2 linked regions of the Kluyveromyces lactis genome follow. The protein of the gene in region 2 binds, or shares a complex with, the protein of the main gene of each other region. Links are inferred from orthologs where the notes say so. Each region holds a gene or a part of one and is shown on either strand. Other genes may lie near its edges.

Region 1 (6,414 bases), on a different chromosome or scaffold from region 2:
TCCAGAAACGTAGACAGTGTAGTTAAGTTATTGAGGAAAGAATTACAATCTACTGCTGATAGCAGTAACGATAAAACTCTGGAGTACAGGCAATTATTGATCAAATCCATTAACAAAGTGGCAATAAGATTTATTGAAGTCTCCTCCAATGTTGTCTCATTGCTTCTAGATTTTATCGGTAACTTGTCGTCTGAAAGTGCCAATGATGTCATTTCCTTTACAAAACAGGTCATTGAAAGGTATCCTGAGTTAAGATCTGAGATTTTAACTACTTTGATTGAGACATTGCATGAAGTAAAGTCAGCAAAGGCTTACCGTGGTGCTCTTTGGGTACTAGGTGAGCATGCCCAATCCGAAGCAGAAATCCAGAATACCTGGAAGCACATCCGTTCAAGTATAGGTGAAGTTCCAATTGTTCAATCTGAACTGAGAAGAGTTCAAAATGATGACGAAGACGATACTGAAAAGGCCCCAATAGTATCCACAGGGCCGGTAGTTTTGCCAGATGGTACTTATGCAACCGAATCTGCTCTATCTGTCTCAGAAAAGGTCAAATCCACCTCAAACGAGGAAAAAGAAGCAAGACCTCCTTTACGTCGTTTCGTCCTAAATGGAGATTTCTTTACTGCCTCTGTGTTGGCTAACTCTATCGTTAAATTGGTGTTGAAATTCGAAAAGATTTCCAAGAACACTTCTGTAACTAACGCCCTAAAGGCCGAAGGGTTGTTGATTTTGGTTAGTATCATCAGATTAGGTCAAAGTAACTTAGTAGAAAAGAAGATTGACGAGGACTCTGCTGAAAGACTAATGACGGCAATTTCGGTATTGATGGACGAGATTTCTACCGAAGAAAGTCAAGCAGAGAAAGAACTTTTGAGTTTGGCATTCTTGGAAGCTACCAACGAATCATACAAATCAAGAGTCAATGTTACTTTGAAGAAGAATGCTGCCAAGAGATCAAACTACCTAGCCAAGCACGCCGAGGCCATCGATAAATCCATCGTTTTCAGACAATTTAAGAATGCAGGCTTGCACAATACCCCCGTCGATTCAATCGAAGAAGATATAAAATTGGCTACCACCGGTACTGTATCATATTCCAAACTACAAGCTAATTCTATCACTTCAAAATTGAAGAAGATCGTCCCATTGACTGGTTTCAGCGATCCTGTTTATGCCGAGTGTTATATCACTAATCACCAATTCGATGTTGTGTTAGATGTTCTATTAGTGAACCAAACCAAGGATACTTTGAAAAACCTACATGTTCAATTCGCTACTCTTGGTGACTTAAAAATTATTGACCACCCACCTAGCACCAACGTTATTCCACATGGGTTCCACAAAATTACGATAACAGCAAAGGTGTCCTCAGCAGATACTGGTGTTATTTTCGGTAACATTATATATGATGGTGGTCACGGTCAAGATTCTCGTTATGTCATCTTGAATGACGTTCATATCGACACAATGGATTATGTGAAACCAGCAATCTGCGATGATAACAGTTTCCGTAAGATGTGGAATGCGTTTGAATGGGAAAATAAACTTCGTATCAAATCCAAATTACCATCTTTACGCGGTTATTTAGAGAAGTTGGTGGAAGTTACACATATGAAGGTTCTAACCCCTGAAGAGGCACTCGGCGACAATGATTCCAGATTCCTAAGTTGTAACTTATATTCTAGATCTACATTTGGCGAGGACGCTTTGGCTAACCTGTGCATAGAGAAGGATCCAATCACACAAGAAATTGTTGGTGAAATCCGTATTCGTTCAAAGACCCAAGGGTTAGCTTTAACCAATGGTGACAATATTACCAGAATGGGAAGAACTATGAATATCGTTAGTGTTGATCGTGTTTGAGGTTAATAATTTGAAGACTTTGATCTCACCAATTACCTGTAATGCAATATATATGCCACTTTTTACTTATTGAAATCTATTACATATAAGTGTACATTAAGAGACGTCGACATTTGTATAAAGGTAGTCATATACATATAATGCTGATAATTTTTTTATCCTATTAGTGAGTGTTATTTACAGGACGAAAGACAGGATAAAAACTACTTGGGAGCATTAATTGATCTTTTCCGAACCGTTGAAAGGAAAACCGAATCCACTGACCAAAGTTCTAGCCTGTACGTCAGTTTGGGCAGTTGTGTTGATGTTGATGTGCATACCAAAAGTTACTGGCCAAAGATCTTGATTAGCATCAATCTCTGGGAAAAATCTGACTTCATCGCTGGTCATACCAAATGATAACCCACCAAATCTGTTACCTGACTTGTTGGAGATACCTTTGTATTCTCTGATTCTTGGTAGTACAATTTCAGTCAAAGTGGATAAGAACTGAGACATTGGACGACCTTTCAATGTAATGACAGCACCCATTTGGGTACCTCTTCTGACCTTCCAGGCCGGAACATCATTCCTAGAGAACAAAGCCTTTGGTTTACACCCGGTAATTTGTTGCAATTGTAATGCTGCTGAAATTGGTAGATATTGGTTCTCTTTTGCATCTCTGACGTAACAGTTAATAACAACGGACTCGATGTCTGGAATGTTCTTCCACGTTACTGGATGAATATCTGGCAATTGAGCACTTGAGCCCTTAGGTTTTCTGGGTTCTCTGTTAATGTGATATGGAGAAGAACCGTCCCATTCTCTTTGCTTCAACCCGAGCTTCGTTTGGCTTTTGTGGGAATAATTTATCAATAATAAATCGCTTTGTAAAGTATTATAATAATGCTCACGAACACGGTCTTGATGTGTAACAACAGGCTTGAATGCTGGAGATCTAATATCGTTTTTACTATATTTCAATTCAGGAAACCTTGGGGATAGCTTGCTCTTGTCGATCTTAACCAAATGATGCACTGGCTTAACCAAAGCACAAGCAGCTTTGGAGACCTTTGAACTACTGTGGAAACCACGTACCACTTGCATTATCACTTGGTATCTTCTCACAGATGCGAACGAATGAATGTATAAACCTACGAATGGGAAGGAATACTGCTTTAAATCGAGTGAAACTGATCAAATCTCTATCATTATCTTACAGCTTTAGCTCGAAAGGTCGAAAAATTTTTAAAACTTTCAAGTACAGAGAATTCAATATACGTCACGTGACAAGAATCAACAAAAAGTGAAATTTGATTAAAAACCAGGTAGAGCTCAGTTGATGATTATAGAGAGTGTTGACCTTTCAGCCCTTGTGTTGATGCATTGCAGCCGTTTTTTTTTGATCCCGTACTTAAAGACACGTAGCTGGATTCTCCATTTAGGTAATAACAGTCGAACTTAACCCCGAATCGTTTACTTGAATTGAGCTTTTTACCGATTTGATAAAGTAAAGAAAGCGATTGACACATATCAGGACAATTGAGATGAGGTTCTCATTTGACGAATTGTACGAGAATGCTGAACGGAAACAGAGTCAGAATACCAGCAGCAGTGATTCTGACTATGAATTAGACGGGGAGTTTACGTATATTGGCGATCCATCTGATGGGATCCAGTTAAAACTACCGAAATTATACCATTCTTCAAAGAATGACGGCCAAGGTGAAGAGCAAGGGTTTAGTTCAGGAGATACAATTTCTTTAGAGGATGTGGTAGAACCAGAAATAGTTTCAATGCTTTCCAACTTAAATATCACTCTTGAAAGGAATGCACTACCGCATCTTACAACGAGAGGTCACGAGAATAAAGCTTTAGGCCCTGTTCTTATTGACGAAGCAGAACTTTATTACCAAGAGAAGAAGGATTTGATTGACGAGGTGGAACAACACACCTTTCCTATGCAAGACCAGGTGCTTGAATCTGTGTGGAATGAGGAAATTGATTCAATTGAAAAGGTGAATCAACGTTTAATTAAAAGCATAAAGGATAAAAAGAAGAGGGAAGAGGAAGCACGTATCCAGAAAGAATGCGAAGCGGAGAAGCGCAGACAAGAAGAATTGAAGCATAAAAAGGAGATGGAAAAGAAGTTGAAGGAGGAAGAGAAACGGAAGATTCAAGAAATGGCAGAAAAGGAGAAGAAAGCTGAAGAAGCGAAGAGAGTAGAAGCCCTGAAAAAGAAGCAAGAACAAGAACAACTGGAGAGGAATAAACTTAAACAGTCCAAAGAATCTACAAATTTCAAGTTAATCGAAGAAACTTTTACTAAATACAAAACCATGATTCAGACAATTAAAACAGAAATAATTGAACCGGTGAAGGCGGATCCCACCTTGAAGAAAACTTTAGCACAACATAAGAGGAAAATTAATCCAAAATTCGGACAATTAACCAACAGTACTGCACAATTGAATGCAATCACCAATGAACTTACCGAACTGGTACTTCAAACGAAGGCTAACCAATTAGCCTATAAATGGATTCTAAACTTTATAGCTAAGGCGATTGTTTCCCAAGCAGAATCTGAGGCCAGAGTGAAACCTGAAAGCGCTTTGCCTTTAGGAACACTTGCGCTAAGTCTTCTTGCATCATACCCGGAACTCAAAGAGTTCTTACTGGCGAGACTCATCAAGAAATGTCCGTTTGTTATCGGTTACACGTGCAGCATAGACACAGTCGAAGGAAGAACCAGAATGGGATGGAAACGTCAAAGTGACAACAGATGGGAAGAAGATATTTCATATGATGAAAGGATGGGTGGTATGATTACCTTGTTTGCTGTCATCACAAGATTACCTCTACCGCAAACGTACATTCAGAAACTTGTGCATCCTTTCCCAATCTCTTGGTCATGGAGAATGCTAGCTAGAATCGGCAACACTCCAAAGGATCTACTTACAAATACACACTTCGTCGTTCTTGCCTACTGGTGGGAGGCTGCGGCAGCACAATTGCTCCAAGCATACAACGTTCAGGCAACAAAACTACTTGAAGTTATTTCGATTGATTTAACTGCACTTGTTGCTGACAAAAAATTCGTTGGTGCAGCAAGACTCCGCATTATTAACGAGGAATGGCATAATACAAATCAAATATCATCATTCCCAGATATGGCAGCATAACGGCTAGAGTTTTCTCTAGTAAAATATATATATATATATATATGTATGTATACCTTCAGATCTTCGTTTTCATCATGTGTTCAGGGCATAGTATATGCCTTATGTTCTCATAAAACTTTAATAATGAGGATTCAAATATTTCCAGAGAGAGAGCGTACCTCATTGCCTAGAAATACTCCGCAACTGTTGAACAAACCATGAACCCATTTTCACGTGCCCATTTACCCTTTTCTTTCTTATTCTTACTTGCAACAGTCTTTATACTCAAAGAGTTCGAACCTTTAAAAACGTAGTTTGAATCTTGTGAATACTTCCATGTGGTTATCATACAAACGAATAACGATCGGATCATCAAAAACTCGCAGTAAGACCTAGAGCAATGACAAGGCATTGTGACGTTTCGATACCGGATTCACCTGAACCTCCTTTTCCAATTACCACATCGTTCGTCGATGTAATAGCTGGTTTCGGTCGTGGATCAGCAGAGTTAGGAATTCCTACAGCGAACGTGCCCATCGATGATTTACCAAAAATCGTGGAGCAACTAGACACAGGAGTTTATTTTGGATGGTGTAAGGTAAGGATGGCAAAGGACCGTGACACCAAGGTGGAACAAAGACCCGATGGCAGAGAGGTCCAATACAATAACGGTACCTTACTAAATGACGAAGATTTAGCAGTTCTTCCAGTGGTACTTTCTGTTGGCTGGAACCCATTCTACCAGAACAAAAACAAGACGGTAGAACTACACATAATCCACAAGTTTTCTGATAATTTCTACGGTGCCCAAATCAAATTCAACTTCTTAGGGTATATAAGGCCCGAGTTAGACTACACCACAAAGGACGCATTGATTGCAGATATCCATACCGACATTGAAATTGCAAAAGAGAAACTACAATTACCTGGATACCGGAAACTTAAGGATACTTTATAAAAGTGAAGTTTGAGAATAGAACAGCTGATCCTCCAGCTTATACGATGACTAACTCAGTTCCGCCCGGAAGATAACTGAGGCAGTTGATAATATCTTCTTTTCCAGTTGATTTCAAGAATTGTGCACATGTATTTATACCATTATTTAATAGAACATTTCATAGAAGAAAATCATTGCTAAATGGAAAAGAGTTCAAGGCAAGAATTAAAGAACAGGCGAGGTCAAAAGACTCACTGACAAAGGCACAACTGACATTTAACTGACCTGAGTACGTTCATCTGTTTGCGTATATCTCACTTTTTTGGATACTCTTTTTCGCCAAGTTGAATAGCCGCATCGCCCATTTTTGGTATATTGCTCCCCAAAAGGTCTTGGTTCTTCCCTTTAACCATTATTCAATCCAACCATAGCCGAGCCACACATACAGAGAAGTCTGTAGTTATTTGGACA
Region 2 (6,025 bases):
TGTGATAATCGATATTAAGCGAGTAATAATGCCTATTTAGACCATGAATCAACGCTTGAATATTCGGTTTGTTGATCAACCCGATATTAGAAGTATTTTGCCTTGGTTCCTGGTTTCTCATGACAGTAGAAGGGTCAATTAGTCTGAATGCATCAATGACCACTTTACCCTTCACCGATTGAATAGGATCAACAACCACCGCCACAGCCCTGCTGTTTAATTGTTCAAATGATTTCTGAGTATTCACATCTACTGAAGATAACCAACAACCAAAACCCGGATGTGAATGGTACCATCCGACAACCATTTGATCTCTTCCTGTTTGTTTTAACATATCCATCATCTTAGCTTGAAAAACATCATCAACAGCCTCGACAGAAACACCTGTACCTGACTGAGGCATGGCAAACACATCGACAACGTTTACTGTATAATCATCAACAAATTCTCCCAACATAAGACCCATGACTTCCATTGGAACACCAGCTCTCCCATGTTTCAACATCTTCAACAATGCAAGAGAAGAAATGTACACAGTTTCCTTGGTGTCATCAAGGGGAACCTCGGTGGCATTGGCACCCATCATGCCTGCTCTTTGAGACATCATCATTCTTTGTAAACTTTCCATCTTTTGTTGAAGGATTTGAATTGCGGAGACGATAAATTGGCTTTTGTATCAGCGTTCTGTTTCTTGATATAATACTTCCTTAATAAAGTACCAACAAATTGAAATTCTTATTCTTTCCTGAGAAGTATGCAATTGTCTTGTAGATTTCAATTACTGTGTATCTAATACTGCTAATAATGACTTATGGATACCACACGTACAGAGATGAGAATTCTTGACGAATTATCTGCTTATACCTTTATCAATTGTAAACTGTTTGCCACTGCATTACAAAGTTACGATCTTTCTTTTGGCTTATGGATTTAGTAGTCATTATTAACGAACATCACCACTTTCTGACCTTCAGATATTTAACCTCTTTCTTCCCTTTAAAAATGAGATGAGACTGGAGTACTTCTATGCATACATGGATATCTCATATACAAAGCGAAGCTCCATGGTCTAGTACAGTCAAATACTCGAGAGCACGACTTGTTGAAGAAAATATTCCGTTTTATTGACGCCGAAGATTTTAGAAATAGGAAACGATTTCTTACATTATTCATACTTTGTTCCCAGTCCTTTGATAAGTGAAATTACGAAAGATTATCAAGACTTAGACAGGAAAACTTTACCTATCGTCACGCTTTTTTTATCAGTTTGATCCATCATCATAATTAAACTTTGAAATATTTCCTAACATATGAGTGAAGGACCTTCTGCTCTTCCTGAAGGAACGCATACCGTCACTGTTACGGAGGTTCCGCAGCTGCTTCAATTGCGTGCTGGCCAGAATGAGAAAAACAAAACTAAGAAGAAGGACACCAAGTCTAAAGTAAGATGGGATGAGAAAGTAATAGATAATGAGAACATGAACAAGAAGAAAACTAAGATTTGTTGCATTTTCCATCCTAATACCCCATTAGAGAGTGATGAAGAAGAGGAAGGAGAGTGCGAGCACGATCATAATCATGGACATGATTCATCGTCTTCATCATCTTCGTCTTCTTCAGACGAGGATGAGGGAAAAAGCTTTGACGAAAGAAGAAAGGCAAGACTCGAAAGGCGGAGAAAAAAGCTTGAGCAAAAACGTCCACCAAGTCCGAATGCATACGAAGTCCAGCCAGATTACAGCGCTTATAGAGATAAGAACAGAAAAGACGCTCAATGATTTAGGAATTTGATCAGCATACTCTTTCACTTCTTGTACATTTCGTTGCATCTTCTACTCACTACAACAATGCACTGCTGAAAAGGTAATTGGCAGTTCAAATGTATATATATACATATGCATATATAATCTATCAGGCAATTATATCGAATAACAATCGACTTACACATGGTTATTTTATTGTATGCTATTATGGTAGGACGTCTGGGTTCTGACATAACTCAGGTGCTCATAAATGAGAGCTCTGCTACAAACCAACTTCTATATTGATTAATATGCTGTAAGTTTCTCTTGGCATTTTGTATTGAATCATACCAGCATAAATCATACAATTTTTAGCAACACGTTTGAGAGAATCGATTTGCTGCTTTTTAGTCAAAGATTGGTAATCACTTTCGTTCAACTGCTTTATGATGTTAGAAATGCATAGCATTGTAATTATCAACAGGTTAGGTATGTTCTTTAATATATTCTCATCCAAATGTGTAAATTCTTGTGCTCTTTTTCTGGTCGAGCTTTCATCCGTGAACGGAATTAAATCGAGATCTTCAATCTGTTGTAGGGTGTTTTGCCATTGGCGTGCTAGGAATGATGCTCTTATATCAGCTAGTTTCAACAAGACAATACATGTTTCTTTGTTTCTTGCCTGAACCTTTTTAGAGATTTCGATGTTGTTGATGTACACTTCGATTAACTTCTTTGCCATTAAGACGTAATTCGTTTCGCTGTTGTCATTCAACCTAAAGAGGGATTGATTGAGGTCAGTGCTACTTAGAAGTTCTCCCAATAACTTGTTGATAATGGACATAACAATGTCATATTCTTCTGATAACTGGTACAACAACAAACTATCATGAATTCTTCTTTCTTCATCAGCCCTACGAGCAGCCTGTTCGGTAATCTTATACAAAAAGTCCTTCTGGTCCTCAAGCTGTAATAATGGGCGTCTTTCTTCAACTACACCGGGGATCCTAATTCCTTCAGAGTTGATCTTTCCGAGAAGTATGGTGAACTCTTTAGTTTCCAAGATCAATTCCCTGAGTGCCTCATACGCCCATTCAATCTGCTCTTTCTCATTCACTAGTGCGATGAGAATTAGATATTCGACAGCTATTCTTGGATCAGAGTACTTGAACGACTTTGTGTAATTTCCTAATACCTTAACAAAGTTTATCCTTGTTTGGCCATCATTCACGGAGATCAACTCATCCTTTTTATAAGATGACACATGTAACATGCCATTTGCCGCTAGACCAATTGCCAAGTGAACAGCATCGATTTCATTTATTTTGTATGAGTACTGTACTGCTAGTTCATATTGTCCGCTTAACAAAAGGGCCTGTAGATAATAGTTTTTAAACATGTACTCACCGTAAGAGACAACAGTATGTTGGAAATCGCTGAGGGTATACCTTTCATATACTGGATCATCCATATCCATATCATCTTTGATTAACATCAAGTGAATCCATAACCAATCTTCCACGCTTAGAGTAATAGAAGAGATATTCTTCCTTGTCAAATCACATCTGCCAATAATTTTGTAGACCGCCAAACGGAACGGATCGCTGTCCAAAGTGTTTTTGATATGCTGGTTATATTCTGTATGCAACCTTGAGACAAATTCCTGTGGAAGACGATGATCAGGAGACGTTACATAAGCTTTGAAGTATGTTAGGAAAGATTGCTCCACTTTTTTGAAACTCAATTTGTTGTTAACAACTACTTCTAGCGCGTCCTGCGGTAAACCAGCCCTTAGCAAATAAAAAATCAAGGCCCATACGGGAATTCCATTCACAATCGTAAGATTGTTAAATTTCCAAGTATTTTCACCAGTCTTCAGTTTGAGGTCAATAAATGCTCTAATTTTGTTAACATTGGTCGGTAAACCTTCGCTTGGATTCTTTGAATACAAATTGTCAACATAGCTCAAGAACTGGTTTTCTAGGTATTTTTTGGAAAACTCAACAATATTTGGGGATTGATTTGTTGCATTATCTATAATCTCCCAACCGTCAAGTAGCTGTCTATACTTCGAGTCGGTCGTATTCTGAAAGATGGCAATGAACTCTTTGGTTAATTGAAAATCGTCATTATGTGATTGTCTTGAATTGTTAAACCTGTAAATAATTTTGGCATATTTCTCAAACTTTTCTCTAAGGATGTGATTTCCATTGACATTTGAATTTAAATCACCATCCAAGATACCACTACCAGGTGGTTTCCCCCAAAATATTGGACCGTTGGGATCCAAAGGAGCCAAATTAGTCGTATCGTAGTTAGAACTATCCTGACGTTTCTTGACTAGGATCCCAAAGCTTTCTCTTACTTCATCTTTCCTTTGCTTCCAATCTAGGTTGAAGTTCTGATTAATGAAATTATCAAAATCCTTCGCTGCTAAAGACAATGATTGTTCAATGGAGGAAAGGATATTCTCATCCTTCTTAATATGTAAATAAGTGTCCAAATCACCATCGTTATAGCCTTGTGCAACCCGTTGTTCGGTTAACAACTCTGATGACTTAAGATTCTTCAAGGAACTCTCAATTTCGTGAAATTCAAGTCCACTTCCTGCTAAGAGATAATGAGCTTTTGTATGATTGGAATCGTGAGGAATTGTCTTACGCATCTCCTGTGCCCTCTTTTTCATCTCATTGACACTCAATAAGATAGCTCCAAGGTCAGATGAAGTAGAAGGTAAGTTCTTTGACGTTTCTAAAAGCTCATTGAATAATTTCGATGAGCTCTTAGACGTGGAGCCACTAGTCTTTGCATCGTTTTGAAATGCAGATAGCATTGTATCACTGCTGATTTGACTGTTGATATTCATAGTTCCACGATTGTGTGGATTTTACAATTCCAAAATCTGAACGGGTTAAAGATAATTTGATGCGATGGATAGCAACAATGTGTATTGATTTTCAAAGTATCTTCAATGAATTATTTCCATCATCTATTCAACGTATTGATAGTTTACATTTTCTTTTATTGTTTTCTGTCTAATTTTTTTTAACTACAATGTTTTGCACCGTTACCCGAACATGTGACGGGACAAAAAAATGGACAGCCAGAAATTGATCATGACAGTAATTAATATTAAAACATAAGTATGTATGTATTAACTCAAGAGAAAATAAGTTAATTATATATTGTAATCTGGAATTGATGATTGCCAGAATCTTTTGATTCCTGTGGTCAGTTTTTGTAGAATAGAAAATGTTGTTTTGGTTACCATTGAAATGTAGGTTTTACTTCGTTTAGTTCAAAAAAAGAGTTGAATGAAATGAAAAATTGATTGTGGTCGTTATACGTTGATGATGCTGTGCGAAGGACAAAGCTTAATCGCAGTACATGTTGACATATTCATCAACAGTTAAGTTTAAGAAACCGTCATCTGTACTTGCTTCCATTAAAGCTTCCACCTTTTCAATATCGCCGGCGAAATGTTCACGCAAATGGTGGTAGAATTTCTGCATCAATAGTGGGACACCTTCCTTTCTTCTTAGTCTGTGACCGATTGGATATTCTACGACCACTTCATCTAAGACAGTCCCATCATTCAATTCTACTAACAAAGCGTTTGGGATTGATCTCTTTGATGGATCATGATAATCCAAAGTGAATTGGTCATCTTTAGTACAATACATCTTAGCTCTCAATTCGTCAATTTCAGGGTTGCTTGCTACTTCATCACTGTAATCGTCAGCCGTTAGTCTACCGTAAATTAATGGAATAGCAGTCATGTATTGAATACAATGATCTCTGTCAGCATAATTGTACAATGGACCCTCCTTGTCAATAATTCTCACAGCGGCTTCTTGAGTTCTAATTCTGACCTTTTTAATGTCTTTGTAAGTTTTGCCCAACTCTGCCAACTGTTTATTCACCTTAATAGCTGCTTCCACTGCCGTTTGAGCATGGAATTCTGCTGGGAACGATATCTTGAAAAGAACGTTTTCCATCACATAAGAACCGAAAGTGTCCCTTTGCTGGAAGGTGAATGGTTTACCTTTGAAAAGAACGTCATAAAAACCCCATGTCTTAGCGGTTAGTACGGAAGGAATTGTACCTGGACTTCCATTCTTCACCAAATATGCAATGTTGACAGCTCTTGCCACTGCGTCACCGGCAGCCCAAGATTTCCTGGAACCAGTATTTGGAGCATGCCTATAAGTTCTTAAAGCTTGTCCATCTACAAAAGCATGAGATAAAGCTTCTGTGGTCTGAGCTTCTGATAGACCCAACAT

Evidence for each region. The genes of interacting proteins can lie anywhere in the genome.
Region 1: NIC96 (region 2) and GLE1 share a complex: the UniProt entries of both Saccharomyces cerevisiae proteins name them as parts of the nuclear pore complex. The link is inferred for Kluyveromyces lactis from reciprocal best matches to the Saccharomyces cerevisiae genes NIC96 and GLE1.

The regions. Positions count from the first base shown.
Region 1 is NC_006039.1:1,324,464-1,330,877, reverse strand, and holds GLE1 (nucleoporin GLE1), read left to right. Parts: upstream 1-3,392; coding exon 3,393-5,027; downstream 5,028-6,414. Other genes in the region: SEC26 (coatomer subunit beta), read left to right, coding at 1-1,866; MRPL7 (mitochondrial 54S ribosomal protein uL5m), read right to left, coding at 2,083-2,952; FMN1 (riboflavin kinase), read left to right, coding at 5,407-5,964. UniProt on the Saccharomyces cerevisiae protein: Functions as a component of the nuclear pore complex (NPC).
Region 2 is NC_006041.1:1,252,188-1,258,212, forward strand, and holds NIC96 (linker nucleoporin NIC96), read right to left. Parts: upstream 4,609-6,025; coding exon 2,026-4,608; downstream 1-2,025. Other genes in the region: proteasome regulatory particle lid subunit RPN11, read right to left, coding at 1-628; type 1 protein phosphatase-activating protein YPI1, read left to right, coding at 1,311-1,778; PDH1 (putative 2-methylcitrate dehydratase), read right to left, coding at 5,117-6,025. UniProt on the Saccharomyces cerevisiae protein: Functions as a component of the nuclear pore complex (NPC).